3 linked regions of the Nothobranchius furzeri genome follow. The protein of the gene in region 2 purifies or fractionates together with the protein of the main gene of each other region. This does not show direct contact. Links are inferred from orthologs where the notes say so. Each region holds a gene or a part of one and is shown on either strand. Other genes may lie near its edges. The genes, in order: mrtfab, serum response factor and myocd.

What was found.
Region 1: the proteins of serum response factor (region 2) and mrtfab purify together in Homo sapiens (affinity purification with western blotting; 4 studies listed by BioGRID and IntAct, with this or other methods). This does not show direct contact. The link is inferred for Nothobranchius furzeri from reciprocal best matches to the Homo sapiens genes SRF and MRTFA.
Region 3: the proteins of serum response factor (region 2) and myocd purify together in Homo sapiens (affinity purification with western blotting; 3 studies listed by BioGRID and IntAct, with this or other methods). This does not show direct contact. The link is inferred for Nothobranchius furzeri from reciprocal best matches to the Homo sapiens genes SRF and MYOCD.

The regions. Positions count from the first base shown.
Region 1 is NC_091756.1:27,814,511-27,824,027, forward strand, and holds the end of mrtfab (myocardin related transcription factor Ab), read left to right. Parts: coding exon 1-151; intron 152-238; coding exon 239-631; intron 632-706; coding exon 707-1,708; intron 1,709-2,013; coding exon 2,014-2,214; intron 2,215-2,300; coding exon 2,301-2,393; intron 2,394-3,787; coding exon 3,788-3,928; intron 3,929-4,047; coding exon 4,048-4,143; intron 4,144-4,714; coding exon 4,715-4,775; intron 4,776-4,857; coding exon 4,858-5,435; 3' UTR 5,436-6,190; downstream 6,191-9,517. UniProt on the Homo sapiens protein: Transcription coactivator that associates with the serum response factor (SRF) transcription factor to control expression of genes regulating the cytoskeleton during development, morphogenesis and cell migration.
Region 2 is NC_091752.1:3,797,561-3,807,956, forward strand, and holds the start of serum response factor, read left to right. Parts: upstream 1-4,775; 5' UTR 4,776-5,120; coding exon 5,121-5,771; intron 5,772-10,396. Other genes in the region: ptk7b (inactive tyrosine-protein kinase 7), read left to right, coding at 42-193, 280-458, 582-742. UniProt on the Homo sapiens protein: SRF is a transcription factor that binds to the serum response element (SRE), a short sequence of dyad symmetry located 300 bp to the 5' of the site of transcription initiation of some genes (such as FOS).
Region 3 is NC_091756.1:4,141,678-4,151,735, reverse strand, and holds the start of myocd (myocardin), read left to right. Parts: upstream 1-3,912; 5' UTR 3,913-4,059; coding exon 4,060-4,114; intron 4,115-10,058. UniProt on the Homo sapiens protein: Smooth muscle cells (SM) and cardiac muscle cells-specific transcriptional factor which uses the canonical single or multiple CArG boxes DNA sequence. Acts as a cofactor of serum response factor (SRF) with the potential to modulate SRF-target genes.

The sequences.
Region 1 (9,517 bases), on a different chromosome or scaffold from region 2:
CACCACCAGCTCTGGCCCCTCCCCCTCCCGCTGCGCTCACAACACCACGACCACAGCCCCCTCCGGTCAGACCCCGACTTCTCGCCAGAGCCAGATCGCAGTGGGAGGAGCCAAACCGGCCACTCTACCAGCCAATCTGGATGAGTTCAAAGTAACCTGATATAATAAAGGAATCATCTGGTCACCAGTGCTGTCTTCAGTCTAGCCTAAGCGCCCGTTCCTGTCTCTCCTCCTGCAGGTCGCTGAGTTAAAGCAAGAACTGAAACTGCGTGGTTTGACCGTCTCAGGAACAAAGAACGATCTAATCGAGAGGCTCCGCAACTACCAGGAACAAAATCTCAGCAACGCATCGGCTCTGAAAAACAACAGCCCATCTCCGTTAGGTCAGCAGGGCTTTACCTCGGCTGCTAACACCAGCGCTTCATCTCCGAGCTTCGTCCCCGAGCAGCCGCCCGCAGAGGGAGGGCTCAAGCTAGCTCTGTCCTCGTTGGCTCAGGCGGTTCCGGGTCGGGTCATGAGGTTTGGGAGCACCAGCTCCAGCCCTCCGGTGTCACCAACGCCGTCGGAGCGGTCACTGGCTGGGCTGAGTCCAGATGAGACGAGCTGCAATGGAGATATTTTTGGAGAGATGGTGAGACTTGGATCATTTTAGGGTGAATGTTTGTTTCTGTTGGTGTTTAAAAGATCTTCTCTTGTTTTGGTTCAGGTTAGCTCTCCACTCACCCAGCTCACCCTCCACCACTCCCCTCAGCACCCGCCAAACGTTTCTCCTCTCTCCCAGCCTTTCTCTGTTGTCAAGGAGGAGATTCAGAGCTCCTGCAGCATGTCCAGGAGTTCATCTGGACCTGTCCAGCCCAAAGACTCCCTACATGGAGTCTCCATGGACATATCCTTTATGGACAAAGACCAGATGCTCCAGGAGAAGGACAAACAGATTGAGGAGTTAACCCGGATGCTGAGGCAGAAGCAGAGGCTAGTGGAGACTCTGAGGTCACAGCTGGAGCAAGGCAAGATGGCAGGTGGTGTGGTGGTGAAGAAAGAAGGAAATGAGAAGAGCAGAACATCCCCAGAGGTTAAGCTCCAGACTCTAATAAAAGCCTCAGCCATTCAACCCCCCGTGCTCCCTAATGGCACCGTGCTGATGGTGAAGGAGGAAGTGCAGCCTGAGAAAGGGATGGAGGGGGTAACGGAAGAGGCTGAATTGAAGAAGCCGCCCCAACCCATGCAGTGCTCTCAGGAGACTCTGCTGAGGCTGCAGCAGATCCATCGGCTGCAGCTCCAAGCTGAGCAACAGAAACAACAGCACGGCCAGCTGCAGAAAAACACAGAGGTCAAAACAAACCCCCAAAAACAGCAGCAGAAGAAGAGGGAGGCCCAGATCCTGCTCCACCAGCAGCAGCAGCTGCAGCAGCTCATCATCCAGCAGACCCAACAGAAGCAGCTCCAGGCCCAGCAGAAGTTAGCACAGCAAAAGCTTGCACAGCACAAGTTAGTCCAGCAAAATCAGGCCAAACAAGCCCAAGATGTCCAGTCTCAGCAGAAGAACCAGGTCCAGCTAAAGCAGGTGCAGGTGCAGATCCAGAACCAGACGGTGACGAGCCAGAAGCCTGCAGTGAGCCAGACCCAGCTGAGGAAACAGCTGAGGGCTCAGCAGAGGCAGCAGCAGAGGCAGCAGCTGAAACAGGCAGCAGCAGCAGCCACGCAGCAGGTGATGCTGTTTGAAACGGGCTAAGTGCTATAAGCTAAGAGCAGCTAACTGACTACAGCTTTTATTAGGACTTAAACAATGTTTGTCTCTGGGTGGTGAGTGTTTATTCTGCACTGCCTCATCTCTCCTGCTGGAGAGTTGTCCAGATGGGGGGCAGTGTGAGAAGCATGTGGGAGGAGCTAAACACACAGTAATTAAATGTAAATGGCTGATATGGTCATTTAAGTTATTGCTTGATGGATAACACTTCATCATTCCTTCACTTCAGATAGAAAAAACTAAAATATAGTTTTATTTGCCTCCAGGTGACTCCAGCCATCAACCAACAGAACGGCACTCCTCTCCACACTCAAGCCATTTCCTTAGACCTTAAGGCCAATGGCACCCCAACACTGGTCACCGACAGCAACGGCAATCACTACCTGATTGCTCTGACCAGTAACAACTCAGACAGGCCAAACAGAGTCTCCTCACTGGCCAAAATCAATGGACGCATCACATTGCAGGTGCAGAAGATACCATCCTCTGATAGAACACACCAGCTTCCTACTGATGTCAGAGTATTCATCTGTAAAACATCCTTGTCTTCCAGAGATTGCAGTCTACTCCAAGTAAACTCCCCAGCACCGACAGCAAGTCTAAAGAACCACCTGAGGAGGATCCTGTGAGCCAATCAGACGAGAAGGTAAAAGTAAATCCCGCCCTAACCTGACCTGTTAGAAACTCTTCATGTGAGAAGATGACTGCACATTCAAATAATCTGATTTCTGTAAAAAATAACATGCATTAAACCCTCTGGAGGCAGGCGTTGCAGATTTGCAATGTTAAAACCTACCTACCTGGTCACTCCACGTACGTACTTCATGAGCATTTTCTAACTCAGAAGTACCGCTGAAGGACTTAGTAGTTCGTCCTTTTATCAAAACTCATTTTGAGCCTGAGAGGGTTAAGCCGGGCGTACACTGTGTGACTTTTTCACTTTTTTGAGCCGATTCTCCACTCGTGCAAGAATCCACGAGATCGGGGCGAGTTCTGCGCTGAGCGTCGTGTACTAGGGCTTACGAGAGGCGATTAACACACGTGACCAGCTACCGATCAGCAATCGTGAGCTCGCACGGACATGTGTTTGATATTTTGCTCGTTCCTCCTGAGGGTTGAAGCAGCGCAGCGAGCGGCTGAGACCCAAAAAGTTAAAGTTAAAGTCCCATTAGTTGTCACACACACAGATGTGTGTGCAAAATTTGTTCTCCGCATTTGACCCATCCCCTGGGGGAGCGGTGAGCTACAGACACAGCCGTGCTCGGGAACTATTTGGTGGTTTAACCCCCCAATCCAACCCCTTAATGCTGAGTGTCAAGCAGGGAGGCATTGGGTCTCATTTTTTCTAAGTCTTTGGTATGACCCGACCAGGAATCGAACCCCCGATCTCACAGTCTCAGGGCGGACACTCTACCACTAGGTCACTGAGCTGGCCAGAACCGCTCACGGCGCATGCGCAATCCTGCATCAACACCGCTCGCCCGCTATTTCCCTAATAACACACGTTGTTTGTTTTTATTTCTAAACGTCTTTTTTTACACACATTGACAAGGATTGTCAAGAAAGCGTGTTTGTCGTGTTCATGTCAAATTAAACTGATCACAAAACACAGATTTACTTTCTTTATTTCGTTTTCCTCATCCAACCCCCATAAATCCCTGTGTGTCCTCCTGCAGCACTCCCGAAGGACAACAGGCAAAACAAGACTAAACAGTCTGACGTGTTGTGTAAAAACTGCTATTTTTAGCATATTTTTAGGGCCGACGTGTTGCTACCAGACGTACAGTGTGAGCAGTCAGGTCGCATGCGAGAACTGGGTCGTGCAGTGTGAGCACATGACTCGTGAGATCTGCCCTGCGTACAGTTTGAGCTGAAGCTGAGTGCTACGAGTGAAAAAGTCGCACAGTGTCCGCCCGGCTTTAGTCTGATACATTTGTCACGCAGTAAGACCAACACACCACTAGGTGTCGTCATTGCCTACTGAAACCCTCTCAGCCTGTCCAGGTTTCCTGTCTGATTCTGTCCTCCACTTGTCCTCAGGAACAGAAACCCGGTCCGCACCTGGACACCAACGGCGTTCCTCAGCCGAGCCCCCCCCTCACCGCTCCGCCCAACCTACAGCCTTTCTTTGAGGACATGTCAGACACCGAAAGCCAAGTCAGCCTGATGTCCTCCCTGAAGGTTAACACCGTCCTCCTCCTCTTCCTCATCAGACACATCCCACCTCTGCTTCTCCTCTCATCTTATAAACGTCTGTTTCCTTTTTCTCTGCTCATTTATCCATCCCCCCCCCACCCCAGCAGAGAGAGGAAGTGTGTCTGCCTTACGACCGGCACACACTCTTCACCCCTCCTTCTCCTAAACCCAACACCTCCCTTCCTCTTCAGCGCTCCAAAGTACGTCCTCCAGCTTCTCTGTTCGTTCCATTTTTCTTGTATTGATTGTTTATGTCTGCACCTGATTTTCCACCGTCTCTATGAGCTGCTCACGTTACTGAACTTGGAGGACGAGGATTGAGGCGCCTGTCTGACCAGCTTCTCATTTTCAGCCTGTTTGGTTTATTTGTCCGCTTTTCATCTTCCTAATGCATCCTGCGTTTCCCGGAACGACTCTGATCAGTCAGGTGTTAGCTGTCGTGGCAAAAAGGGAACTCTGCTCGATCTGATTGTGTGACATCTTGTGCCATCACTAGAGATCGAGCATTGAGTGACTTTAAAGATGCAACAGAACCATTAGCTGTCGTTTCACCATGTAAGATTAAGTTCATTTGAAACTGACACAAAGGTTAAATGCTGAGCAAAACTAGATTCTGGCTAGCCAAGCTTTGATGAACTGTTATTGAAGTTGATGCTCGAATTAAACACCCGATCTCTCACTTATCGTTAAGGTCAAAGGTCAAGCAATGACTGTGTTTTAGTGCAGCGAATGGCTGTTTCATCTGTAGCTGATGTGTGTGTGTGTTACCAGGAGAACGGTGTGAACAGCCAGCAGATGGATGACCTGTTCGACATCCTGCTGAAGAGTGGAGGTAATAAAATGTTTCAACCCCTGAGACAGACTCATGACATCACCTGTCTGTCTGAAGTAAAAGACCGTCTGTCTCTCCTCAGAAATCCCCGGCTTCAAGGCCAACCCAGACCCTTCCCTTGCTCCGCTCCACTCCAGCCCGCCCTCCCCGTCTACCCTCCCGTCCCCACTCCACCTGTCTTCCCCCACCCCCACAGAGACGCTAGTGTCCCCTCAGCCGTCTACAGGCGAGTCATGCACGGGCAGCGGGCGCTTGGAAGACTTCCTGGAGAGCACCACAGGCACACCGCTGCTGGGCATGGAGCCCGACGGAGACCTGACGCTGATCGACGACCTCCACAGCCAGATGCTGAGCACGCCCAGCATCCTGGACCACCCCCCGTCTCCCATGGACACATCTGACTTGGGGTTCTCCCCTCCTTCTGCAGGTTTGGACTTTGGTGTCCCCTCTTTGGACAGCATGGACTGGCTGGACATCTCTATGGGGACTGAGAGTGGAGGCAGCGAGGACAGCAGGGTCAGGAGAGGAGGAGGTGTAGCAGGTGAGCGAGACGGGGGGACGAATTTAGCCCCGCTGGCACCACACACTCCCCCGAGTGTGTTCTCAGCTGACTTTCTGGACAGCACGGACCTGCAGCTGCACTGGGAGTCGTGTCTGTAGCTGGTGGACAGGCGGTCGCTCACACTGTACAGGCTCTGTATTCACTTCATGCACATACTTCTCTATGCTGTCTCTACCACTGCGGGAGGGGCACCGGCACATTTAAACGCACACTCACACGGTTAGTCACTGGCTGTTTCTGTACGCAGCTGAGGCGAAATATGCAAAAAGACGTGGTTGTAGACTCCACAGAAGAGAAGCTGAAGTGTTGACCTGGGTGAGAAGCAGACTGGTTCCTGCTGGAGGAATCAAACAGACCTGCGCTGTAACTAGGTTTAAGTCATCCGAGTCCTGACTGAAATAGCAGTGTGTGTCCGTGCCTCCTAAACTTTGCACTTATGCTGAAGCTGATTGGTTTGAAGGAGACGTCGAGCTCAGCAGCTGAATCTCCGCGCTGGTCGGTCGGATCGAGAGAAGACCACCGTGCGTTCTGTTAATCAGCTGACCGCTTTTCAACGTGGCAACCTGACCCCACACACACTCAAACAATCGTCACTGGTTGCCAGTTGAATTGAACCATATCAGCAGCAACGGTTTGAAATGCAGCCTCGTTGGAGGTTTTGTATTATTGGTAACATTATGGTAGACCACTATGTATTGCTGTATATGGGGTGTATATTATCAAATGTCCATAAGACTATTTTTCTTTGCTGGTTGCTTTAGAGTCGAGCTCGCCGGCTGGGGAGCAAGGGGCGGGGCTTCTAAAACACTTTGTCCTTGTCATTTTTAAAAAATAAACAAATCATAAAAACACATCGGATGCAGTTGTTTTGGTCATTTCTGCATGCTAGCAGTCCATCAGCAAAGACAGAAACGCATAAATAATCCTAATCTGAAATATGACCACTAGTTAGAAGACTGCTTTAGTTAACTGTAAACGAGGTAAGGTGGGGTGAAAATAGGAAACGACACTAGAGGGCGCTATTGTTTACAAACACCTTTAATCAAACTGGCTTTCAGGCTCGTGTTGACGCAAAAACCAAATGTAAATAATTTTTCAGCCGGTAAGCATTGTTGTGCTTTATCCTGACAATATGACCCTTCAAATAGATATGCGCTCAAATAGTGTAAAAATGAACTCAATCGCTTTATTGATCATTCGAGCTACTTTTACAGGCACAGTCCTGATCCAAAGTTTAAGGCAACTGTAAAATTCATGTTTTGCCTGATTGGGTCTTAAGAAGGCCACAGGTTGAGCTTCAACATGCAACAAGAAGAAACGGGAGTGAGACAAATCCTTCTGTGAGCAGCAATTTATTGAAAACGAAGCTTAAACTGAAGCAGGCTGTTAAAAGGCCATATTGTGTATAAATTAGGATTTGTTGGGGTTTTCTATCAGGCGATCACATCGTCATGACGTTCTGATGGAAAAGGAAAGCAAATGTTTCCATTTTGAAGGTGGTTGAACTGCAGTAGCAGGCTCTCTCACTGCTGAGGTGAGACGGTTGTCTTAAATGACCCTGAGGGTATGGAACAGAAACGTTTCATCAGCACTGAGCTGGAGGTCCGGGGTCTGATGAGAGGAAGTTTAACCTTGATGGTCCCGATGCTTTCCAGCATTACTGGCATGACAAGCAGATCCCAGAGAGGTTTTCTATGTGTAGAGGGGGTCATCATGGACAAGGTGCTTTTTCCTTCTGCGGAACAGTGGAGCTGCAGGAGGTGCAGAGACATCAATGGCTGCTGGCTGTGTCCAGATGTTTGACTGAGGGCCTGTTCTGTGTGGTAACCACTGGGTTTTCTACAGGACTGTGCTACAGTACACAACACCCACAGGACAAGGGACTACTTCTAGGAAAACATCACTCTTTTGGGCCATCCTTCATGTCTCTGATCTAAAACTGATGGAGGACCTTTGAGGATTTATGACAAGGGAGGTTGACAAACATGAAGAGTTCCAGACAGTGGACGTCTTCACCGCTTGGAGAAATGTTCCCTCTCACCTCATGAGCAAGCATGTGATCACCGATGGAGCTACTCATTACTGAGCTCATGTGTTGTTTGGAACCTTCATTTCTGTTTTATCTAAAGCTAATTAAAATAATTAGTTTTTACACCTGTGATAAAATATCTAAAATATAATTTTAAATTATTCACGTTTTATTTTGGCGATTTGGTCTCTTGAGTTGCATTTCGTCATTCTTGTCGTATTTTTTAGGTCTGATCAGTGTCTTTCACACAATCAGACCCAAAATTGGTGTGAGCAGCAATGAAGCCCTAATTATTACTAATAAATCGTGAAGCATCTTGTTTTTGAAAGTTTCAATTTCAATAATCTGCTACAATCTCTCTTCTCACCACATGTTCTCAGCCTTACGTCTGCAACATCCCTTAAACCTGTCTGGGATTTAGAGTTGATGCTTTATCTTCTCTCTTCTTTCCCCAGCCTCCCCATTTCCCATCCTCTGAAATTCCCCAACAAGCCCTCTGCAGCGCTGAATCCCAGACTCCAGCACCTCCAACCAGCTTTCACAGTCACTTCTCACACAGACACGTGGGGCAGAGCAGCTCCCCTCCACAGTTGACATCTCTCTCCCATTTACAAAGCAGATATAAGTCCAGAGGCCATGCAACTAATTAACTAGTCCGCTCCAAAAGGCAGCAGCACCACAAGGACTAAAGATCTGTTCTGTATTCCAGGAGCCTGAGGCCAGCACTCAGGGATGAAGTTTAACCAGTGCAGCTCAGAAAAAGTTTTTAAAATAAAAATAGAAACGTGGAAAGAATTCATCAAAAAAGTGACTGAATAATTTTTCTTCTGATTTTCTAGATGTATTATGACAAAATTGTTAAACATAATGTTTGGAGAGCCTTTGGTCCATGGGTCTCCTACTGCCCAAGAGATGAATAGAAGATGGGAAATTGCTGCCCTCCGGTGGCTATTTGCTGTAACTGCACCTTTTTCATTTTAGCCATTTAGAATTGAACATTGTAGCCTCCTTGTCCTAACGAAGCTTAAAAAATCTTAATATTTTTAGTAAACATTTTGGGAATTATAAAATTATGAAGGAGAAGGAGGAGGATTTGAAGGAGATGAACCTGTTTTAGTAAAGGTAAAAGACTTCCTTAGCAGAAAGACTATCTAATTTCTTCCAAAGACTGTTTTTTTCCTTTAAAAATTTCATCTCAATGCTGGCAATAAACAGAACAGCATTATATTTCCAATAGCAGTTAATAAAAGGAAGATGGGGAGCTGCTGTCCTTCAATGGCTGTATCCTGAAAAAGCACTTTGTTCGTTATTGCCATTTAGAAGAAAATATTTTAACCTCCTTATTTTAATGAAGCTTTAAAAAAAATTCCAATCTTTATTTTAAACATTTTGGGAACATTAATATTGTGGAGGAAAAAGTGGAGGATTTGAAGGAGAAGATGGATCTTGATTATTAAAGTTCAAATCCTTTCTTGGAAGAGACACTACATCTAAATTCTTCCAAACACAAGTTTGTTTTCTTAAAAGAATGGGAAATTTGCGCCCTCTGCTGGCAACAAACAGCAGTAAGAAATAATGAGAAGATGGGAAATTGCTGCCCTCCGGTGGCTATTTGCTGTAACTGCACCTTTTTCATTTTAGCCATTTAGAATTGAACATTGTAGCCTCCTTGTCCTAACGAAGATTAAAAATTTTTAATCTTTTTAGTAAACATTTTGGGAATTATAATATTATGAAGGAGAAGGAGGAGGATTTGAAGGAGATGAACCTGTTTTAGTAAAGGTAAAAGACTTCCTTAGCAGAAAGACTATCTAATTTCTTCCAAAGACTGTTTTTTTCCTTTAAAAATTTCATCTCAATGCTGGCAATAAACAGAACAGCATTATATTTCCAATAGCAGTTAATAAAAGGAAGATGGGGAGCTGCTGTCCTTCAATGGCTGTATCCTGAAAAAGCACTTTGTTCGTTATTGCCATTTAGAAGAAAATATTTTAACCTCCTTATTTTAATGAAGCTTTAAAAAAAATTCCAATCTTTATTTTAAACATTTTGGGAACATTAATATTGTGGAGGAAAAAGTGGAGGATTTGAAGGAGAAGATGGATCTTGATTATTAAAGTTCAAATCCTTTCTTGGAAGAGACACTACATC
Region 2 (10,396 bases):
TCCTGATCCCAGAAGGTGTCAGCTGTTTTCTCTCCCTCCAGGTGTCCATCTGTGCCCAGGTGGCTCGTGGCATGGAGCATCTGTCCAATCACCGATTCGTCCACAAAGACCTCGCTGCCAGAAACTGTCTGATCAGCAGTCAGAGGAGGGTCAAAGTGTCGTCCCTCGGCCTCAGCAAGGACGTCTACAACAGGTTTCAGATTTTAAAGAATCACGATAAATCCTGAACATTTAGTTAAAATGACATAAACACGCTTCAATGACCCGTTTCTGTGTTAGTGAGTACTACCACTACAGACAGGCGTGGATCCCTCTGCGCTGGCTCCCGATGGAGTCCGTGTTCGAGGACGACTTCTCCACCAAGTCTGACGTGTGGGCCTTCGGAGTGTTGATGTGGGAGGTGTTCAGTCACGGAGACATGCCGTACGGCAAGCTCAGCGACGACGAGGTGCTGGAAGGTGAGCGTGGTCTGGCATTGGCAGGTTTTGTGTGTGTGCGCGTGTGTGTGTGTGTGTGCGTGTGTGTGATTCATTCGTCAGTGGTGTCCCACTAATGTGGGGAACGATCCCCTTCATTTGCAGGTCTAAAGATGGGGAAGCTGAAGCTCCCTGTTCCTGATGGATGTCCTTCTAAACTCCATAAGCTGATGCTGCGCTGCTGGGCGCCCAGCCTCAAAGAGCGGCCATCTTTTTCTGACATCGTCCACGCTCTGGGAGAGCTGCCCTCTGACAGCAAAGTCTGAGATCAGAGGGGAGCGTTTACAGACCCTGCACCCCCCCAGACGTAAAGACCTAAATGCTGGATTACTACATTTCAGGGAAGAGCGTTGAAGAGGAAACGTTTTTATATGCATTTCAGTTCTGGGAGTGGAAACACTCGCGTGGCTCCGCAGCATGGATCAGCTTCGTTGTGATTCCACTGTTTGCAGCATCTCTGTCTCAGAGAGGCTTTAGTTTCACCCGCAGTGCCTGCACCTCTTCACACACACACACACACACACACACACACATCATCATCATCATCATCATCTGCAAAGCCCATTAACAGACAAAACTTATCATATCCTATAATTATCAAAGAATGTGTGAAGTAGGACCTGATTTGCTTTGATCTGCTTCGTTTTTACTCCTCCATCCTAACTTCTGCGGGGATCTTTAGCCGCCTCTCCACGAGAAGAGCTGTCGTCCTGTTCGTGACACAAAAACAAACAAATCCACGTTATGGTTACACTACAGGAACAAACAAACACATTTTATAGCCAAGCAAATGGCCTTTTTTCATAAATGTCTTGTTTTTATTATATTTGAGGTGCTTATCTGACACCACAGATGGGTGAGAAACCCCGTTACGTAAACATCATCATGTTAGTTGCAGGAACCGAGCCAATCATATTTAGCCTGGAACGTCCACGGAGGTCCCGTTACGTTTTATTTTGTTACAAGACGGACCATCGCGCCAGATAAACGTGTAAATAATGTAGAAGCCATGCACTAACTTCACTTAAAAGAATATCCCTCTTTTGTTTGTTTAGAAGGACATGCAGGTGCCTGTTTGTTTATGATGAAGGTCCTGTTTACGTTTGTCATGCATTGTTTATAATTGGTACTTTGGTGAAGTTGTTAGGTTGGTGTTCAGTCTGGTACATAACTGAATAAACTAACACTAAATATAAAAGAGTGACTCGCGGTCACCAGATAAGTGCCTAGTAAATGAAGGATTATTATTAACAATCTCCCTTTTTCACGTTATCTAATCGATGGCCTTTGTTTATGAGCTGGGTTTTATGTTTTTATTGTTTTGGTGTATGATGTTTGTGTTTTTTATATGAATGCTAGGCGCTCACACCTAGACTTTGTTTTCTTTCATCTTTCTTCAGCAAATGTTCACAGTAATCATGGATATATTCAAAAGTATACATGCTGCTGTCAATAAACATTCACAGTGTTTTTACTCATCACGAGATCGTCTGAGTTTCGTGTGTCAGCATTTAGATTTGGCGAAGAGATTCAAATGAAAAAGTCACGCTCCCTTTAAAGGAGACGAGACTCTCTGAAGGTACAAAGGTTGTACCGTCGATATAAAACATGTTAGATCCCTTTCACGTAGTGATTTCGGCTGTTTTGTTCTTGACATTTTCAGTACCTTCCAGAATGAGTCGTTTCAGGGCTCTGTCACTTTAAGAATTTAACCTGAGAAGCTCCGACATCCGAGAGGGACTCGCACTGGGGGGCATCAGCAGCGGGACCGTTTTTCTGGGGAAAAGTCCACATGAAACGGCACTCCCATCTTTTCCATCCTCCTTTTTGATCACCTCGGCCAGTTTGGATCGACCCCGACTAAAATGACTTATTTTTGTAACTGCGATGTTCCGCTTTCATTCCACGCCCCCCGATGAGAACCAGGCTTGAGAGGAGAGCCACTACTCCTCCAGCAGCAGCTCTTTTACACATGAGAGCTAGTTTTATTCCCCATTTGTGATGTCACAATAGGAGGGAGGTTTTTTTCATGTTTTGAGTCTTTATGAAGGATGCGTAAACTTGCATGGAGGCAAAAAATTATGCGACAGGTGAGTATGTCTCCCTTAAAGCAGTGCTTCTGAACTTTGAAGTGGAGTTTCATGGAAAAGGCTACAGTTTTGAAGGCACTTGACTGACCTCGTTGTTTGAGCCTAACTAATCTGTTTCTCCAAACTGAGACCCTTCGTAGTGCTGTCTGTAAAAGATAAGAAATTAAAACTCACATTTCTACAAAAACATTTTCTTCACAGTATATAAATGTTTCTCAGTTGCAACACGTTTTTTTTTAACCACATGATTGTTTTGTCTACCTAAATATGGAAAAAATGATCTTGTTTCCACTCGGCAGCAGTGTAGAGATGCAGCTTCCTGTTGCACCTGTTTAACACATGAAGACTCTGGTTTGCATGTCATTTCTGCAAGTTAACCATCATAAAAATGTCTAAAATATGCAAACATTTGTTGAGAATATTATTGAAAAGAAAGCGTAATGGTTGGCCTGTAGGTCCTAATGCACGAGTCTGCAACTTTTACAATCCAAAGAGCTGTTGTGGACTGGGGTCCACCACAATAAAAGTGTTTAGAACCCCAACTGTTAAAGGACCTTAAAAAAAAGAAAGAAACTTCTTTATGCCCTAAGATGGTTATGGACAATTTTTCTTGAATTTTTCGAAAAAAATTAAGTCTGTTTAGATTTTTTCTCAGATTAAAAAGTGAAAAATAATGTTCTTTCATAAATATCTACTATGAGATGTTCATTTTCATTAGGTTTTAAAAAAGAGGATATGGTTTCCCATGGGGTGTAAAAAATTAAACGATATTACCGGAAATTTTTGTTTCATTTTATGGAAAATTCAACAAAATTATTCCATAAATTTTTTTTAAATCTGCTTACCCAGATGTATGAAGACACTGCGGAAGGTCCAAAGAGCCGCTGGTTCTGGTTTAGCAAAAGAACGTGCACTTCCCCGGGTTCGCCTCTAGGGGGTGGTATACAACCTCAATCTAATCTAATCAAAGATAAAAACCTTGTATTGCTCCAACTTAACATTTACTTTCTGATTTGAACTTGTTGGGGGATTTGTGACATTTCTCCATTGTGGAGTATTAAAATTAAACATTTTGTTCACAGCCAACTTCACACCTGTTAACGAGGCTTCACTTGAGAACATATTATGGTTGGATTAACGATCAATATATCATGTCATGATTCTGTTTTACATCATAACACAATTCTGTTTTTAGTTATTTTTTTCCACTGATCTCTGGTGGTAATAAAACCCCTTAGCGAGAGGTTCTGGCATCTTTCCTCTTGATGTTTGGTTGAAGTCAAATCAAAACGTTATACCTGGGGTTTGTTGCAACCTGTCTGTTGCAGGAGGTGGGCGGAGTTCACAGCCATGTTTACAACACTGATAAAAACAAATTAATTAGGATTTTCCCTCTTAATACATTTTAAATGTAGCTTGGTCTGCTAAAGAAATGCAGTTTTGTGTGACAAACATTTTATTTACAATTTTCGTACAGGTTTATTAAGAGACATTATATTGGCAAAAGAAAACATTTAATTTTTGCCGTTTGAGATTAAATAAGTTAACGGCACAATGTTTAAATCACTACAGACTGAGGAGTTTAGAGGTTTTGTGGCATGACGGTATATTCATGAGGGAGATGGTGGTCAGATTATTTTAAACTCTAAAGTAAAATTATGAAAACATGTTAACACTTCAAATGATTCTAAAGAAAGCCAGGCTACCTGGAATCTAAGCATAACAAGTAGAGGAGTGGCTTTGAACTTGTGCACATACCGCTGGTGCAGATTCTCAAAAGTGCACCTGAAAGAGGAGTTTAGCAGTTTTTATGAAGGAGAAACTCTGGCGCAAACCCAGCTTGCGCTATGACTTTGTGCAACCTGTAGGGATAAAGTTGTGTGTTATTGTTGTGATGGTGTCTCTGCATGCCCACGGTGACGTCGACATTAGCGCAACCATTTTGGTATTTATTGTAATGAGCGTGTCCTGTCGACCAATCACAGCGCTAGTCAGATAATCCTCAGCCAATCAGCGAGCGAAGCTGTGACTCGCCAAATAAGGAGAGACAGCACCAAATAAGGAAACGTTGTATCTCTTTATAAGGAGGAAAGTAGTTCCCCGGTTAGGATATCCCTCCGCCGTCAGATAAACTTTTAAAATGAAACACTTGGCGGTGATTCAGAACGACGAAGCGTGAAGCATTTAAACAAAATGGTGTCACGTGTGATGTGTAGTTGGGTATCGATTGATATTATTGTTTCATTGGTCTCACAATGTGGACTATTTGGCGCGGCGTAGGCATATTTGGGACGCTGTTCGCGCTTTCCTTTTTGAGAAAGTGCTGGGAGTTTTGGAGATAGAGGAGGAGGGTGAACCAAACCGAGCTGCGTTGACGGGTCCTGGGGGCAGCATCACTCTCGAAAGTTTGTATCTGTCATTTCCCGGACTCTCCGAACCGACCTCCGGCCTGGCTTGTTTACATTTATTGGGCCCAAGCGTGTGTCGGTTCTTCGCGGTACACCACGCTCCAGCTTTCCGGGCTGGCGGTAGTCTTCTCGGGCCACCAAATAGAATGTTACCCAGCCAGCTTGGGTCGGCACCATCTGGAAACGGGTCAGCATTAGGCAGGGGTACCACGGGACACGGTTCGGAGGCTGTCGGTGGCATTCGCCCCGTCTTAGTCCGAGCAGGGCAACCTTTAGCTGGGGTGAGTGAGAGCGGCGGAACTGCGGGGCGGCAGGGGAACGCTGCAGTCGGGATGCTGGGGGCAAACGGTCCGGGAGGTTCGAGAGGCGCAAGACCGGGAAACGAAACCGGGGCGAACCCTCTGCAGACAGCAGTCCAGGGAGGAAACATGATTGCGTTAAACACGGGTGTCGTGTTGCCTCACGGAGCACGATTCAACCCGGACCGGGAGAGCCACGGAGCTCACCTGTGCAGCGGCTCGGATAATGACTCCGACTCCGGGGATGACGACGACCCAGTGGGGTCACTCGGGGACGGCAGGAGAGGGGTGAAGCGGGAGAGGGGGGAGATGGAGGCGGCTGCGGCTGGCCACGAGATGGGGGTGGCTCCCGGAGGATACGGCATGGTGGCCGGAGTCGCCGGGGCAAAGCCGGGGAAGAAGACACGTGGGCGGGTAAAGATCAAGATGGAGTTTATTGATAATAAGTTGAGACGGTACACGACTTTCAGCAAGAGGAAGACGGGCATTATGAAGAAGGTGAGTCAGGTGACACCTGCTGCAGCGCGTGAGCTGTAATAAATGGTGAACGGGAAGTCGGTTCTGATCCACGCACTGTGTTTTGTTTTTATGCAACAAAAGAATTCCTTCTGAGACCCAACGGTCGGTGGATGTGAGGAAGTCTGAGCTTTCATGACGGGCAATGAGCTGGAAATAGACTTGAGCAAATGACAGTTCTATTAATGACCACCCCGACACACACACACACACACACAGAGGACCGGACACACTCATTCATTCATGCATGCACTCACTCACTCCTCCGGTCGGGTCCAGGTTCCTGCTGGAAGGTCTCCAGCGCAGGCTGTTCCCTCCTTTGCAGCCATGTGGCATTGAACTGCAGTGTGCCATCAGCTGACTAAACCCCAGGGAGAGATCAGGGATGGCCGGAGAGCACTTACACACACTTACACACTCCGTCCATGCGTGATGGCACCAGCTCATCCAGCCTCATCACTGTCTTGGTTTCAGCTTTGTTTGAGTGACAACCCAACAGGTGACTCTGGAGATGATGATGATGATGATGATGATGATCAAGCACCCTGCTACTCAGGCCCCATGTGAAGACACTTTTTGTTTTTGTGTTTTTTGTAACATGCTTCTGGAAAACAAAGTTCAGTATCAGACTAAGATAACCCGAGTCAATACAAAATGCAGTTTTCACAAGCAGTCATGATCAATGTGGGAAAAGTACAACAAATGAAATCAAGTCTTATCCTCTCGTCTTTACAGAATAGTTTTAATTCAGTCAAATTGGAGGGTTGTCAAAGCCTAGAAGTCCAGGTCGTCGTTTGCTGAAGCAAAATGATTTTGCTCTGCATGTCATAAATAGGATGGCTTGCCAGGTTGAGTTTTCCACCGTGAAAGGTCTGTTTAAGGTCAGACGTGCTTCTCCAGGATGTTCTGCTAGAGAGCAGAATTCATGGTTCCACCAGTTGCAGTGAGTGGTCCAGGTCGTGGGGCATCCCCAGACCATCACACTACCACCACCATGTCTGACTGTTGCTATGACAATGTTTTAGTGTGACACCAGGTGGAACTGGACACACACCTTCCACAAAGTTCCACAGAACATTTTCCCTGAAGTCTTGGATCATCATGATGCTTTTTTAATGTGAGATGGGACTTTTGGTCAGTGGAGGTTTAGGCCTTGGAATTGTCCCGTGATGCTGTTTTCCCATCATTTCTTTCCTGTAGAATTGTGACCCTTGACCAGCTGAGTATATACCGTCCTGGAAAGCAGCTGGGTGTGCCTGCTGGGACTGAACTCGCTTCATAACGGGTCCAAAGTTTATTCATGATTTAACAAGGAGGCTTTTACTTTTCCATGCAGGATCAGGCTGGTTTGGACAGATTTCCTTCCCCTTTCAAAAAAAAAAAAAAAAAATCATTTGAAAACACAAGTTTGTATTGACTCGGGTCATCTGTTGTTTTTCTCGTCTGAAACTGTTAAATGTGACAAAGAGCAAAAACTGAAGAAGTACTTTTTTCGTATCCAGTAGTTACATTCTGTTAAGTACTATTAAATATGAAAACACAGTCATTCAAATAAAGAATGACTTAAATGTGGCAACAAGTCATGCACAGTTATTATAAAATTAGCTGTGAATCACAAACAGAGCCGTGCAGTGGACTTTAAACGATGACTCTAATGTAAAGTTGTGCTTTATTGTATGTTTTTGCAGAACGCGCTCTCTGCACTCTGCTGTGTTTCTTTTTTCGTGCGTTTCCCAGACTGTTGTCGTGGAAACTGGGGTGTCTTTGTGTAGGCTCTTGGCAGCATCAGCACCATTTGACACAATGTTGGGGTGGAAATGGTGAAAATGTTGCCCACACTCCATGCCAGCCTTTACAGAAATCAACAGGTGGGTGGAGTGGGAAGATTCATAGTAGTTTGGGTTCATCCCAGTTTGAGACCAGTCTGTTTTGAAGCATGTAATAAGTAAAGGAGGCCTGTATGTTCTTACACCATAGGTGTCTGGCATCTACACGTAAAGTCTAGTTTGACATCTAAAACGTGGTTTTTTGTCCGTGTGTGTACATGTTTCATTGCATGCCCAGAGGAGGGCTCTTTTCGTTTTTCCTTCAGCTGTGACTTCACTTGCAGAGCTGTTTTTAGCACCTTTCAAGCTCTTTTCACAGCAGGATCAGCAGAAGAAATGACTAATGATGTTATTAGGAGGCGAGCTCTGTTTCTTTTAACTTCTAGTATCTAATAGTCAACAGGGTATCCGCGGGTCCTTAAAAAGTCTTAAAGTCTTAAATTTGCTTTTCCAAATTTAAGGCCTTAAAAATCCTTAAAAATGACTAATAATCCTTAAATACAGTTTCCAGAGGTCTTAAATGTCCAAAGACCCAATAAACAAGATCCTTTTATTTCTACAAAATTTTCATAAATTTCTAGTTGGTGTTCAGCATTTTTTGTGTACGATATTGGCGTAAGCGGAACCGTACACATTCAGTTGGTTGTGAAAGGGGGCTATTTTTAGATGAGCACATTAGCTGTTTAAGATAGTGGGAGTTTGCGCCATGGGGAAGTGCAAGTTTAATGGTAACTGGATGGTTAATCCCACGTTGGCGACGTGGTTAGCACCGGTTCCAGGCAGTAGCTGGAAATTATAGCTTAAATTAAATTTAAAAAATTTGCTTAAATTTGGTCAAAGTGGCCTTAAAAAAGGTCTTAAAAAGTCTTAAATTTGGCTCCCTTAAACCTGCAGATACCCTGAGTCAAGCCTGGAGTTTATCTGCTGAGGCTCACTGATGCTGGTTTCGTACAGCTCAGACCTGCCAATGCCGCTTTTGACACATTCAGATCCACTTCAAACTAGAGATGCACCCACAACGGTTAAGAACAGATAACAGTTTCTGCAGATGCTGATGTGTCTCAAAGAACAGAATGAAGTTCAGACTTCTACATGGAAGACCTGTAATTGCTATTGCAGCTTGTTTTTGTATTTGTACAACAGCCACTAGAGTCCTCCTGATTACGAGGCGGGCGCTTAACAACTCTGCCTCTGTGACCCATTATGCATCACTGCTTGGTGGTGGTGTGATTGCTAAACACATGACCAGGTCAAGGGATGTTCAAGAACGTATTTATGTTTAAATTAATATCCGATATCCTTAGACCTGGGACGATAACTTTTGCCGGACGATATATTGTCCAACAAATTATTGACGATATTATCGAGACCGAAGTAGCCACTTATGTAATGTTAATATGTCATAATAATGCTTTAAAATGCAACTATTACACTGTTATCTAATACAGGAATGTCCAGAAGCAGAACTTCTAAATAAATAAATGCATAAGGACTTTCAGTTTGTTACAAAATATTGCACCAAAAACATTAGATAGTAGAGGTGCTGAAAAAAAAGTCGATTCAAGTCTGAATCGGGACTCTTATTTATAAAGGTTCGGAATCGATTCCAGGAACTCAAATGTTTGGCATGTTACAGGTTTGAGACGCACTTTTGTCTGTTGTTTTGGTCTTTGTTAGGAGAGTCGGTACTCCGTTTACTTTTGTGGTCCCATAAACTGGGATGTGTCATTTTTGAATCTGCTGATAAGTGCGGACTAGAATGTAAATTTTTTTCCATGCTCAGAAATTTGATATTCTCATATTTATTTTCTAAGTTGATAAGCGAGTACTCAGGATTACTCGTGTTTATTTGAAGTTATTGATAAATGAGAGAACACATTTTCCTTTGTAAGAAATCTGAGGCACTTTTTTAAACAGGTCTGGGACTCAAATGTTAAACTTGTTTCCACAGATACTTAAAAAGTATTTGACTGTATTACTTTCAAAGCTACTGTTAGGTAACTAACGATTTGTTATATTTTATAAGGTAAGCAAAAATAAATGTAGCCTTTTCGTCAAAAGATTGCTTCTGTTTACAGTTTTAGAATCACTTTAATTTACCTTGTAAATTAGCATATTTTTTATTTTTAGCATGACCAGTTTAAAGTAAAATAAAATTTCCCAAAGCTTTAACTAACTTGCACAACAAAGTAGTTAATCCTACAACTGACACTCTTTGTTAATACTGATTGTGAATCGATTTAAATCGAGAATCGATTCTGAATCGAATCGGCACCCCGAGAATCGGAATCGAATCAAATCGTGAGTTGCTCTGAGATTCACATCCCTATTAAATAGACCCCGTCTCTCTAAAACCAATAAATAAATAAGAAAATGATGGACCACCCTGAGCATTCTCTTCACAAGACTGTCCAACAACGGAAGAGTGTCTTCAGTCAGAGGCTTCTTCAGTTTCGCTGCAACACTGACCGCTACTGGAGATCCTTCCTGCCAACAGCCATTGTAATATACAACACCTCTTTGATGACTTGATTATTATTATTATCATGAGCTACTACAGCAATCAATTTCCCTCTGGGATTAATAAAGTATTTTTGAATTGAATTGAAATACAATGGCCTATCTTGTGTCAACTACCAAAACCACTCATAAAGGGACTTTACGGAGTTTTGAATTTTTATGCTCGCGATTGCCCCCTCAGGCCAAAAGCGTAATGGCAGCTTCAATAGTAGGCTCGTGCACGAGGCGCGCATGCTGTACGTGCACACTCCTTAACGAAAA
Region 3 (10,058 bases), on a different chromosome or scaffold from region 2:
TCTTTGTGTGTGTGTGTGTGTGTGCGTGCGTGCGTGCGTGTGTGTGTGTGTGCTCTGTCTTCTCGATCCCCAGTTTCGTTTTGTTTCGTTTTATTGAGATCCTCATTAGCTTCTGCCTAAGTGCAGATGCTAGTCTTCCTGGGGTCTCATACATTTTCATACAGTTGTTTACATGAGATAATACCCTTTACACACAAACACACACACATTCACGCACACACATCCCTAATTCCCATAATACCAGTAGCTCAAGATGAAATCACATATCTAGAACAAAATTACATATATAAACTAATATCGGGAAAGGAGTTAATCACACCAATAAAGATTGAAAATAAAATATAACAGAATGGCGACATCATGTCCATTGTTTCGTATCATAGTTCATCGATATTCAGTACTCGACCTCAAACACAGATTTTCAATCCTTCGTTGCAGAGTTCATAGTCACTATACAATTAAGTGTGTAAACAAAAAAATTTTCTGTTTCTTATGAAAAGAAATGTTATTACTTTCGAAAATTAAAAATCTAGGCAATGCATTCCATGCAGTCATAGCTTTATAGTGAAAAGATTGTTGAATTTGATTTGTTCTACTGCGTGGTAAAATACATTTCATCTAATTTATCTGTCGTGTATTATAAGTATGATTATCTGAAAAAAACAATAATTTGCTATGTATCATTTTTGGTGTTTTTGTAATTATTATTTTCCTCACAGTTGTTACCACGAAATACTTTAATCTACTCTTCACATCAAGCCAAGCAAGTTTTTCATGCATGGTTCCCACATTCGTTCTGTAAGGGCAGCCTAAAACAATACGAGCAGCTTTATTTTGTGCAACTTGTAGCTTATGCAAATTATTTTCACTTGTACTGGACCAAATAACAGATGCTTGATCTACACAAGAAAGCACTAATGATTGAACAAGGCATTTAAGTAAATATTGTGGTATAAATTTGCAACAAAATTTAATTATGCCCATACCTCTCCCCATTTTGCGTAAAACATAATTAATCTGGCTTGTCCATGATAATTTACAATCAACTATAACTCCTAGTAATTTTACTTCTTCTAGTTGTTCTATTACGTTGTTACTCAGGGTTAAATGTAACTGGCATCGTCTGTAAAGTATGTTTGGAGCCAACTACCATGCATTTAGTTTTTCCTGCATTAATCACTAATTTGTTAGCAGTTATCCACTGCTCGACTGTTCTTAACTCTTCATTTAATATTTCATTCAATGCACTCTCCGTATGTGCTGAAGCTAAAACAGTAATATCATCTGCATATACTGCTGTAGTCGCATGTTGCAGCACCCACGGAAAATCATTCAAAAAAATAGAAAACAAAAGTGGTCCCAAACAACTTCCCTGTGGAACACCACATTCCATCAGACCCTTTTCAGAAAAACTGCCATTGAAATAAAATTGATATTCTCTGTCAGTAAGATAACTTTTAGTCCAGTTAAGAGCAGATGTATGAAATCCATAGTGTTTAAGTTTTTGTAATAAAATATCATGATCTAAAACATCAAAAGCCGCACTTAAATCAAGAAATATAGAACCAATTAGCTTATTATTATCGATATTCTCTAAGCAATAATCAGTTATTTGAATAAGTGCAGTAGTGGTTGAGTGATTCGTTTTGTAAGCATGTTGATATTTTGTGTTCATTTCATATAACTCAAAATAATCTTGAATTTGATCATATGCAATTTTTTCCATGATTTTACTTAAAGCTGGTAGCAAACTTATTGGTCGACTGTTTTGAACAGACAGTGGTTCTCTATTGTTCTTAATTAAAGGTATTATTTTTGCTGTTTTCCATTGAGATGGGAAAATACCTTCTTTAAAACTTCCATTTATTATATGAACAATAGGACATGAAATAAAATCTACTACTAACTTTAACCATTTTATATCAATATTATCTATGCCAGATGGTTTATTTTTACTTTTTAATATTATCTCCTTAACCTTGTCTTCAGTCACTTTATCAAATTGAAATTGGCAGTTTTTATTTAACATTATTTTTTGTTTAATTAGATGATAGGAAATATTTTTGGTTTGACTATTTTCCATAGAATCTCGTAACAACTTAATTTTATTAGTTAAAAACTGGTTTAAATAATTGGCAATTTCTGTTGGTTTAGTGAGATAAGTTCCCCCTACATCCAAAAAAGTTGGAGCTGACCTATTATGCCTACCCATCATTTCATTCAATGTACCCCATAATCTTGCACTATCCGATTTTGCATCAGTTAGTCTTTTTTGATAATACAACCGTTTTTTTATGATTATTAAATTTAGTTACAAAGTTTCGTGATCTACGATACTCTTTCCATTTATCTGGACTATTAGTTTTTACTGCTTCATTTTTAAGTTTATCCCTCTGCCTCATATATTCTTTTAATTCTTCATCCAACCATGGAGCAGATACCCTTCTCACAGCGCGTTTCCTTATAGGAGCATGTCTGTCTAACACCTTTGTGAACAATTCATTGAAAACTGCTACTGCTTGGCATGGATCATCTTCACTTAAAACCTGTGTCCAACTTATTTTCCTCACATCTTCTATGAAGTCATCTTCATTGAAATATTTAAACATCCGTCTGCACACAAATAATTGGCCTTTTTTAGGCATCTTTGTTTTCCTTGTTACCGCAATTAAACTATGGTCGCTACAGCCCACTGGAATCGAAACGGCTTTAGAACAGTGAGTCGTGGAGGATGGCTGCTTATACTGAGCCAGGATTCTCTGGAGGTTTCTTCCTGTTAAAAGGGAGTTTTCCTCTCCACTGTCGCTTTATGCTTGTTTAGTATGAGGATTGCTGTATAGTCACTGACACTAGTCAGTGACTCGATGCAACCTGCTGGGTTCCTTATATAGGAAACATTATTTCTGATTGGCTCAATGAACTGACCTGTACTGGAGTGTTTACTGTGTGAAGGTCCTTGAGACGACTTGTCGTGATTTGGTGCTTTATAAATAAACTCGAATTGAATTGAGCCGAAGATGGCGCTAGACTGATGTTTTTAGACAGAATTAAGAGTTTTCAAAGGAAACGCATCAAAATGCAAAAATAATGACTACACATGTCTACAACACTATTAGACACTCATTTATACTAGTTATCAGCTAAAAAAGTTTATTTTGCTCTTTAGTGAGGAGAGCGAGGACGAGTCAGAGGGAGAAGGAGCAGATCCTGACACCTCTTGGGTAAACTAAATGTTTTTATTAAATGTTCCTCCCAGATCTGGAATATGTGAGCGATCCTTGAGAAACATGATACCGGCCACATGGATGGCATCATTGAAAGTGGACGTTTCCTAACAGTGTTGGAGAACAGGCCGACATGAAAGCTCACTTTGCTGTGGCTTTAAATATGACAGGTTTTCCTTCAAATGCATCATAACATGTCCTGAAAATGTGAGCGGACTACTGCGCGTCATAGAGATGCTGATTCGGGAGAGGATCACTGCTGGACTGATGCACGAGAGCTTGATTCACACCCCCAAGAGCCATGTGATCTGTTGCTGAATTCTGTTCTGAATCTGATCTTGGTCTTCCTCTCTACTCTCTAATGACAGCCAGAGCTGATAGGCAGATATATTTATCCTGGTGGCAGGGGAGGAAGAAGTCATCAGCCAAACCCTGAAATGCCTCTGGGCTGCAGCAGGCGGGGCTTGGAGGAAACCCCGGCCTGGGCTGGCCCCTCCGTGAGTGGGCATATCTGTGTGTGTTGTCCCCAGCCCCACTCAGAACTCTCATCTGGATAGAACCAAAGCCCCATCAGAGCCGCACACTCACACATCAGCTGCTGAGGGGAGAGGGAGACGAGGAAGGCAGCAGATAAAGGGCCGGTGTTGAGAGTGTGCACAGCCTGTGCAGCTAGGAAGCCTGTGTGTGTGTGTATGTGTGTGTGTGTGTGTGTGTGTGTGTGTATTGATGAGGCAGCCAGGGACCAGTTTGTCTCACATGAGTCTACGGTCCAGAAGAGGTCACTTCTTACATGTTTTCTTCACCGTTTTGATGCGGGACCTCTACTAGGATCAGAATGACTCTCCTGGGCTCTGAACATTCTGTGCTGATACGAAGCAAATTTAGATCAGGTAAGTGCACTGACCTTTGACCTTTCCCTGAAGGCATGTCAGAGCTTACAGTGTGTGTGAGTGTATGCGTGCATATGCATGCGTACATGAGTTTGTGTGTGTGTTTGTGAAATTGTCAGACAGGTTTCCTCTCTGTAGTGATCCCCATAAAGATGGATGTTGTAAAGTTCAGAGGTCAACCAAATATGACAGTTTGTAAAAGCAGAGTAGGTCCACGTGGGACCAGACCACCGTGGGTCTGTTCCATCCCAGAACTTCAGGTTTACGTTGAACTCTGTGGTTACAAAGCAGCAGACGGCTCATCGTAAAAGCAGCTTTCAAATGTAAAGGTGTGAACAAGCCGAGTCGAACACGCAGCCAACAACCCGAATGTCACAGATCCGTACCAGAATCAGCGCTTTGTGACAAATTTGTTTGGATCAACTGTTTTAAGAAATCTTAAAGTTTCAGCTTTTAGTCCACTTTGGTCCCGGCCTCAGTGGGACTGTTTTTCCAAGCTGAAGGTGTTCAAGTTACATCATTCACAGAGCCATGGCTCTACTTATTCACATACACAAACTTTTTGAGCAATTAAATAATACAAACAAAACCAGTTGAAAACATTTTGGGGCAACTCAGCCTTCAGCTAATGCTAACGGTGCAGGAAGCCGGATGATGCTAATGGTGTGTTAGTTTGGTCCGTGTGAGTTTCTCACTGAGGACCCGTCTGGATGTGTAGTCTGACCAACACTGCCACCTCCTGAGGAGAGCCGGACCGCTGAAACGACTCCAGCAGCTCCTCTCAAGAAGACGGGACTCCTGTAGATCAGAGTTGCTCTTCGCCGTGCTCCCACTCAGCCCGTGAGCTTTAGCTGCATTCCTGAGATTGCTGGCTAAATGTCACTTTTCCTTCAAGTGCGTTATAGAGCTGGGAAATGACCTTCCACGCTGCGCGGAGCACCGGGCTTCTCTCAGAGGCGGCTTTGGGCTGTGTGTTAGGGTAATGCAGCACAGATGTAGAGATACTGTTATATGCAAGTCTGCCTAGCGTCACAGGAATCCGCACCAACTAGAGCTGGAGGAGGTTTGTGAGTGTATCTGAAGGATATCAGCCTGGAAATCTGTGTGCTGACTGCTGATGACAGGAGGGGTCTGTGAATGTGTGCTGCAGCAGCTCCAGTGACATGCAGCGCTCTGTGAAAACTACAGATTGTTGATTCTTTTCCACCACAGTAGAACAACTCGCCATGGGAACTGCTGCTGCTCGGTCCTAGCCTTAGGGAGCAGTCAGCTGTGTGTGAAAACGGCTGATTGTCGCTGTTTCTGTGCTGCCTGACCGCTTTATCAAAGCCATGGGAACTGCTGAAGCGTTGTTAAAGGCGTGGAACACTAAAAAACCATGTTTAATGATTATTTATGATTATAATCATCCCATTTTTGAGTTATTGGGTCACACTGAGTGTTTCATGAAGGCTGAACATGAAAATAGTCTCCTACACCTGTCTCCTGCATTAGCTTCTGATAGAAAACAGACGGTGAAACTCTAGGATTAGAAAATCCTGACAGATCTACGTCACACTGTAACTTAACATTCATGGGCTCACCCATCTGGACTCACGACGGGGAAGGCTGTTGTTGGTTTAGTGTCCAGGAAACAGCAGAGAACTAGTAGAAGCTAACTGTTAGAATTAGCAACCCCACCACATAGCAGAACTCCTCCAGGCTTGTGTTATTTGTGGAGACAAAATATCTGACTGTAGAGAAAACAGTCAGTGGTAGAGTCAAGTTGCTGTCAGCCAATCAGTTGAGTGATGCCCCAAAACCAGGAAATAATTGCCGTGTTCAGCTCTCCTCTGATGCAGGGGCGTGTCCAGGGAGTAGCCTGGGGTAGCACATGCCACCCTTGGAATCTGATTGGCCACCCCAGGTGCCACCACACTAATTTACCTTTAAATAGGCTTTTCATTGTCTACAAAAGGCTTGGGGGTAAAACAAGAAAGCGTAACTGTTGGTGCCACCCCTGCACAAAGGTGTGCCTCACCTGGGCCACCCCATTTTAATGGATCTAGACACGCCACTGCTCTGATGTAGCATCCTGCTGGTTTCTGAGACATTCATTCCTCTGCTAATGTGTTGATTAAACGAGTGAACCACATCTTAAATGCTGCAAAGAAAGATAAACATCTGATGTAAAAGTTAAGGTCCAGATGAGGGTTTGTGGAGTGCTGTTGGGAGGGACTCGAGCCTTCTCAGTAAAACCGTTGTTGTTAACGCGGGATATCCAACAGTCCTGCTTTTTATTTTTATCTCAGATGATTTCAGATTAAACATCCAGTCTCAACCTCTAACCCGCAGATCGGCAGACGAGAGACTTTAAACAGATTAAAGTTAGTTTCACGTTTTTGTACAGAAAATAGTTTACAAATGTTCTAAACCACAGATGAATGTGTGTGTGTGTGTGTGTGTGTGTGTGTGTGTGTGTGTGTGTGTGTGTGTGTGTGTGTGTGTGTGTGTGTGTGTGTGTGTGTGTGTGTAAATGGTCACGCCAGTCAAAAGTCAGCTACTTCATCTGTTGCTGCAAACATAAACAGCAAACATTTGAACACGGAACATGCTAAAGTGAAAATCCGGACAGAAAACAAAAGGTGTTTTACTTCATCAGCAGCGACAGAAGAAAGGAAACTTCCAAGTTCTGAGAAGAACCTGATGGAGATGCGGTAACGCGTCTCTGGATGTTTACGGGAGAAGGTTCTCTCCATCGAACTTCTAGTGGTTCCTCAGAAACATCAGCTGTTAGCAAACGTCATAAACCTAGTTTTATTTCCATTCGTTCAAATGACGTTTCAACAGACGCTTTTAAGTTTCCTTTAATCCGTTTAGATTCAACCAAGGTGTCTGATTTTACCTTAAAGGGGTCAGGTGAGCCCCAGGTGCTTTTTTATTTATTTATTTTTTAGGAGTGCACCACATCGCCCTTGCCAAGAGGTAAACTGTCAACCATGTTTATCCAGCCTGGAGGGGTCACCTGACAGGACAGTGGAGGGTTAATGGTGATTGAACAGCCTATCAGAGTCGAGGACTCCAAAGAGCGTTTCACTGAGGAGACGCACTGACAGAGGCGAGGTCGCTGCACACAGGCGCCACCGTCTGTGACAGCAGCAGCTCAGGATGTAGAGCGGGTCGTCCAGTAATCAAAAGGTTGCAGGTTTGATCCCGGCTCTGATCAGAGAATGCTGCCGTTGTGTCCTTGGGCAAGACAATGAACCATTTACCATGCTCCGGTGGGGGCCGGGATCAATCCCTCAACCTTGGGATTACTGGCCGACCCGCTCTACCTCCTGTTGTTATCTGGTGGAAAAGCACGACAGCAGTTGTTGCTACAGGCTTGCATCTGAACGTTTTCCCTCGGCTTCTGACTGACTTGTGTTTGGTGGTGCGCTGGACGCTCTTCCCCTCCGCCCGGCTGGGCCACACGGAGCCAAGCCTTTATTGCTGATTTTCTACCTGCTAAAGCTATCTGAATATTGTCTGAAAGGTACATACCTGCATCTATTTAATGTCTCGGTTGTAATCATGACTTCCAGTGAGAACCAGTAACATTTGCAGTCCTCCAACACTGAAAGTGAATGGCACTCTGGCAGCACTTAAAACCCCTCAGCTGTGTTATTTTTCCCCCTTCAGCAGAAATCTGAATCAGCTTACACGGTTAACCATAGGTCACTGTCAGTGGAAGCTCTCCAGAACCATTCAGGGTGGAGTGTTGTCTCCCTGCAGTCAGGTTCTGGCTCTCGTTTGAAAATCTGACTCCAACTGTTGGGAACCGTTGGAATAAAACATGCAAGGGCTGTTTCAAGGTGGATTTCCACTTCATGCAGAGGCATTAGACGAAAATAAACCCAAAGCTTCACTTAGAAATACCTGTTTATTAGACGCCGGGCAGCCATGCTCATTCATCTGTCAGCAACACATTCCTGTTTGTGTTGCAGAAAGTTCAGAAGAATTCAAATGACAGATCCTTCTGCTCTGATTAGTCTGGCTGTTGCTGTTCAACTTTCTAAGTGTTGTTAGTATTACCCATTTTGTTTCTGTTCCAGGCACCGAAAGACAATAAATTACACTATCGCTGGTTAATTATCTCCACTTCAGCTGCACAGACCAGGCCAAATCATCATTTATTTACACTATAAATCTGAACACTTGTAAATGTGGCCGTGGATTTGTATGTCCTTTGTTGTCAAAGGACCCCATGCCGAAACAAATGTCTTCGGTTTCAAAGTCAACACTGCGCGAGGCTGAGAGCAGCTGAGAGCACGGCTCACACACGTTCACCGTACAGCCGGCACCAGGCAACACTTGTTAACCAAAAACCAGATCTGACGGCAGCTGCTTTGCTGTTTCACACAGAGTCTTTACTGGCAGTAAGTAGACACTTTTGGTGTTTTACCACGGTGTTTGGGAAGTGGAAATATTTCTATACAAGCGTCAAAATTACCAGCAGCAGCAAACTGCAGCGCTTTAGGGACCAAGATGTTGTTGTTGTCCCATCTTCTGATCCACGTTCATTATTATGACTTCTTTTAGACCACAGACAAAAGAACATCAAGTTGTTAAAATGAATTCATAGTGGTCATGTAAGGGATCACAGCATAGGGAGACAGTTTACCTACACAAGATCCTAGAGTCTGTTTCCTTATTCCTGCTAGCACTACAGCTATTGCTTGGGGTGGGGGGCGCCAATCAGGAAGTGAGTGTATGTCTGGCCAATGTCTGTGGGGTGAGGGTGTAGTGGGAGGTGCATGAACAACCAATGTCGAAGAGGGGGGCTGCTGGAGAGTGGACAAGCGAGGACAAGTACGACAAACAAAGGCTCTGCCTGGTTTTCATTCATAGTACATCCAGGAATGTGAGGGGTGCTCCAACATTCTCCTGTGTTGTTTTCCGCTCATCCAATTAGGACATTAGCGGTAGCTCAGACTAACGTTTTCTGTGGTTAGCATTGCCATGACCAACGTTTACATCACAGGTTTCACATGACGTAGCGTCAGGGTTTGAATTACGGGGAAGCAAAGGAGAGCCCAGCTCACCAAAAATTGTGAAGCACTCAACTTACACGCCTACGTGAATTAAGCTTGGTTTATGCTTGACGCGTCCGCGAGGTCCACACGGCTCCGCGTGGCAAAATTGTGTCATTTTCACAACCACGACCCTCCACCGCGCCTCCGCACGGCCCAAAATTTCCGCAACGCACACCTAGGAAATTTTCTAACCACGCGGACGGTCGGACACAGAAAAACATGGCGTACTGGCAAGAACTAGAATGGCAGAGGTTGGTAAATACAGACATTTGTATGATTCAGCTCTCAGAGATCACCGTGATCAACATGTTAATAATTCTTGGAGAGAAATAGCTCGCACTGTCGGAAAAGACGAGGATGCTGTTAAAAATACTGGAATGCCAAGTTGTAAACAACAGTAGTTTTTACTTCTACTATGGTGTAGTGTTGGATGCATGCCGTAGAGCTCCATGCTGCCCCCTACAGTTTGGGAGAATATTGGTTCACCGCAGAGACAAGCCACACGAACCATAAACGCTGCGAGTTGTGAAGCGCGTTCCATCCGCGAGCCGCATCACCAAGCGGAAAGTGAATGCATCAAGCATAAACCAAGCTTTCCATTGTTTATGTGGACTCTCCGGAGGTCCTTTTGAGCGGAGAGGACGCAGAGCGCTAACCATTGCACTCAGACAGCTGCATCCTGCTCACGCCCACAGTAACATTCTCAAAGTGTCGCCATCCCCAAAAATATAATTAACTCACAGTCATTTATGCCGGCTCACTTCCTCTGGTGCTTTCTGTCATTTATCTGAGCCTGATGGACTTTGCTGCCGCGGATCGGAGAGCATTACCTGTCTTGTGCTCAGGTGATCTCAACTTACTGGTGCGGCAGGCGCGCTCTGCTCGGTCGG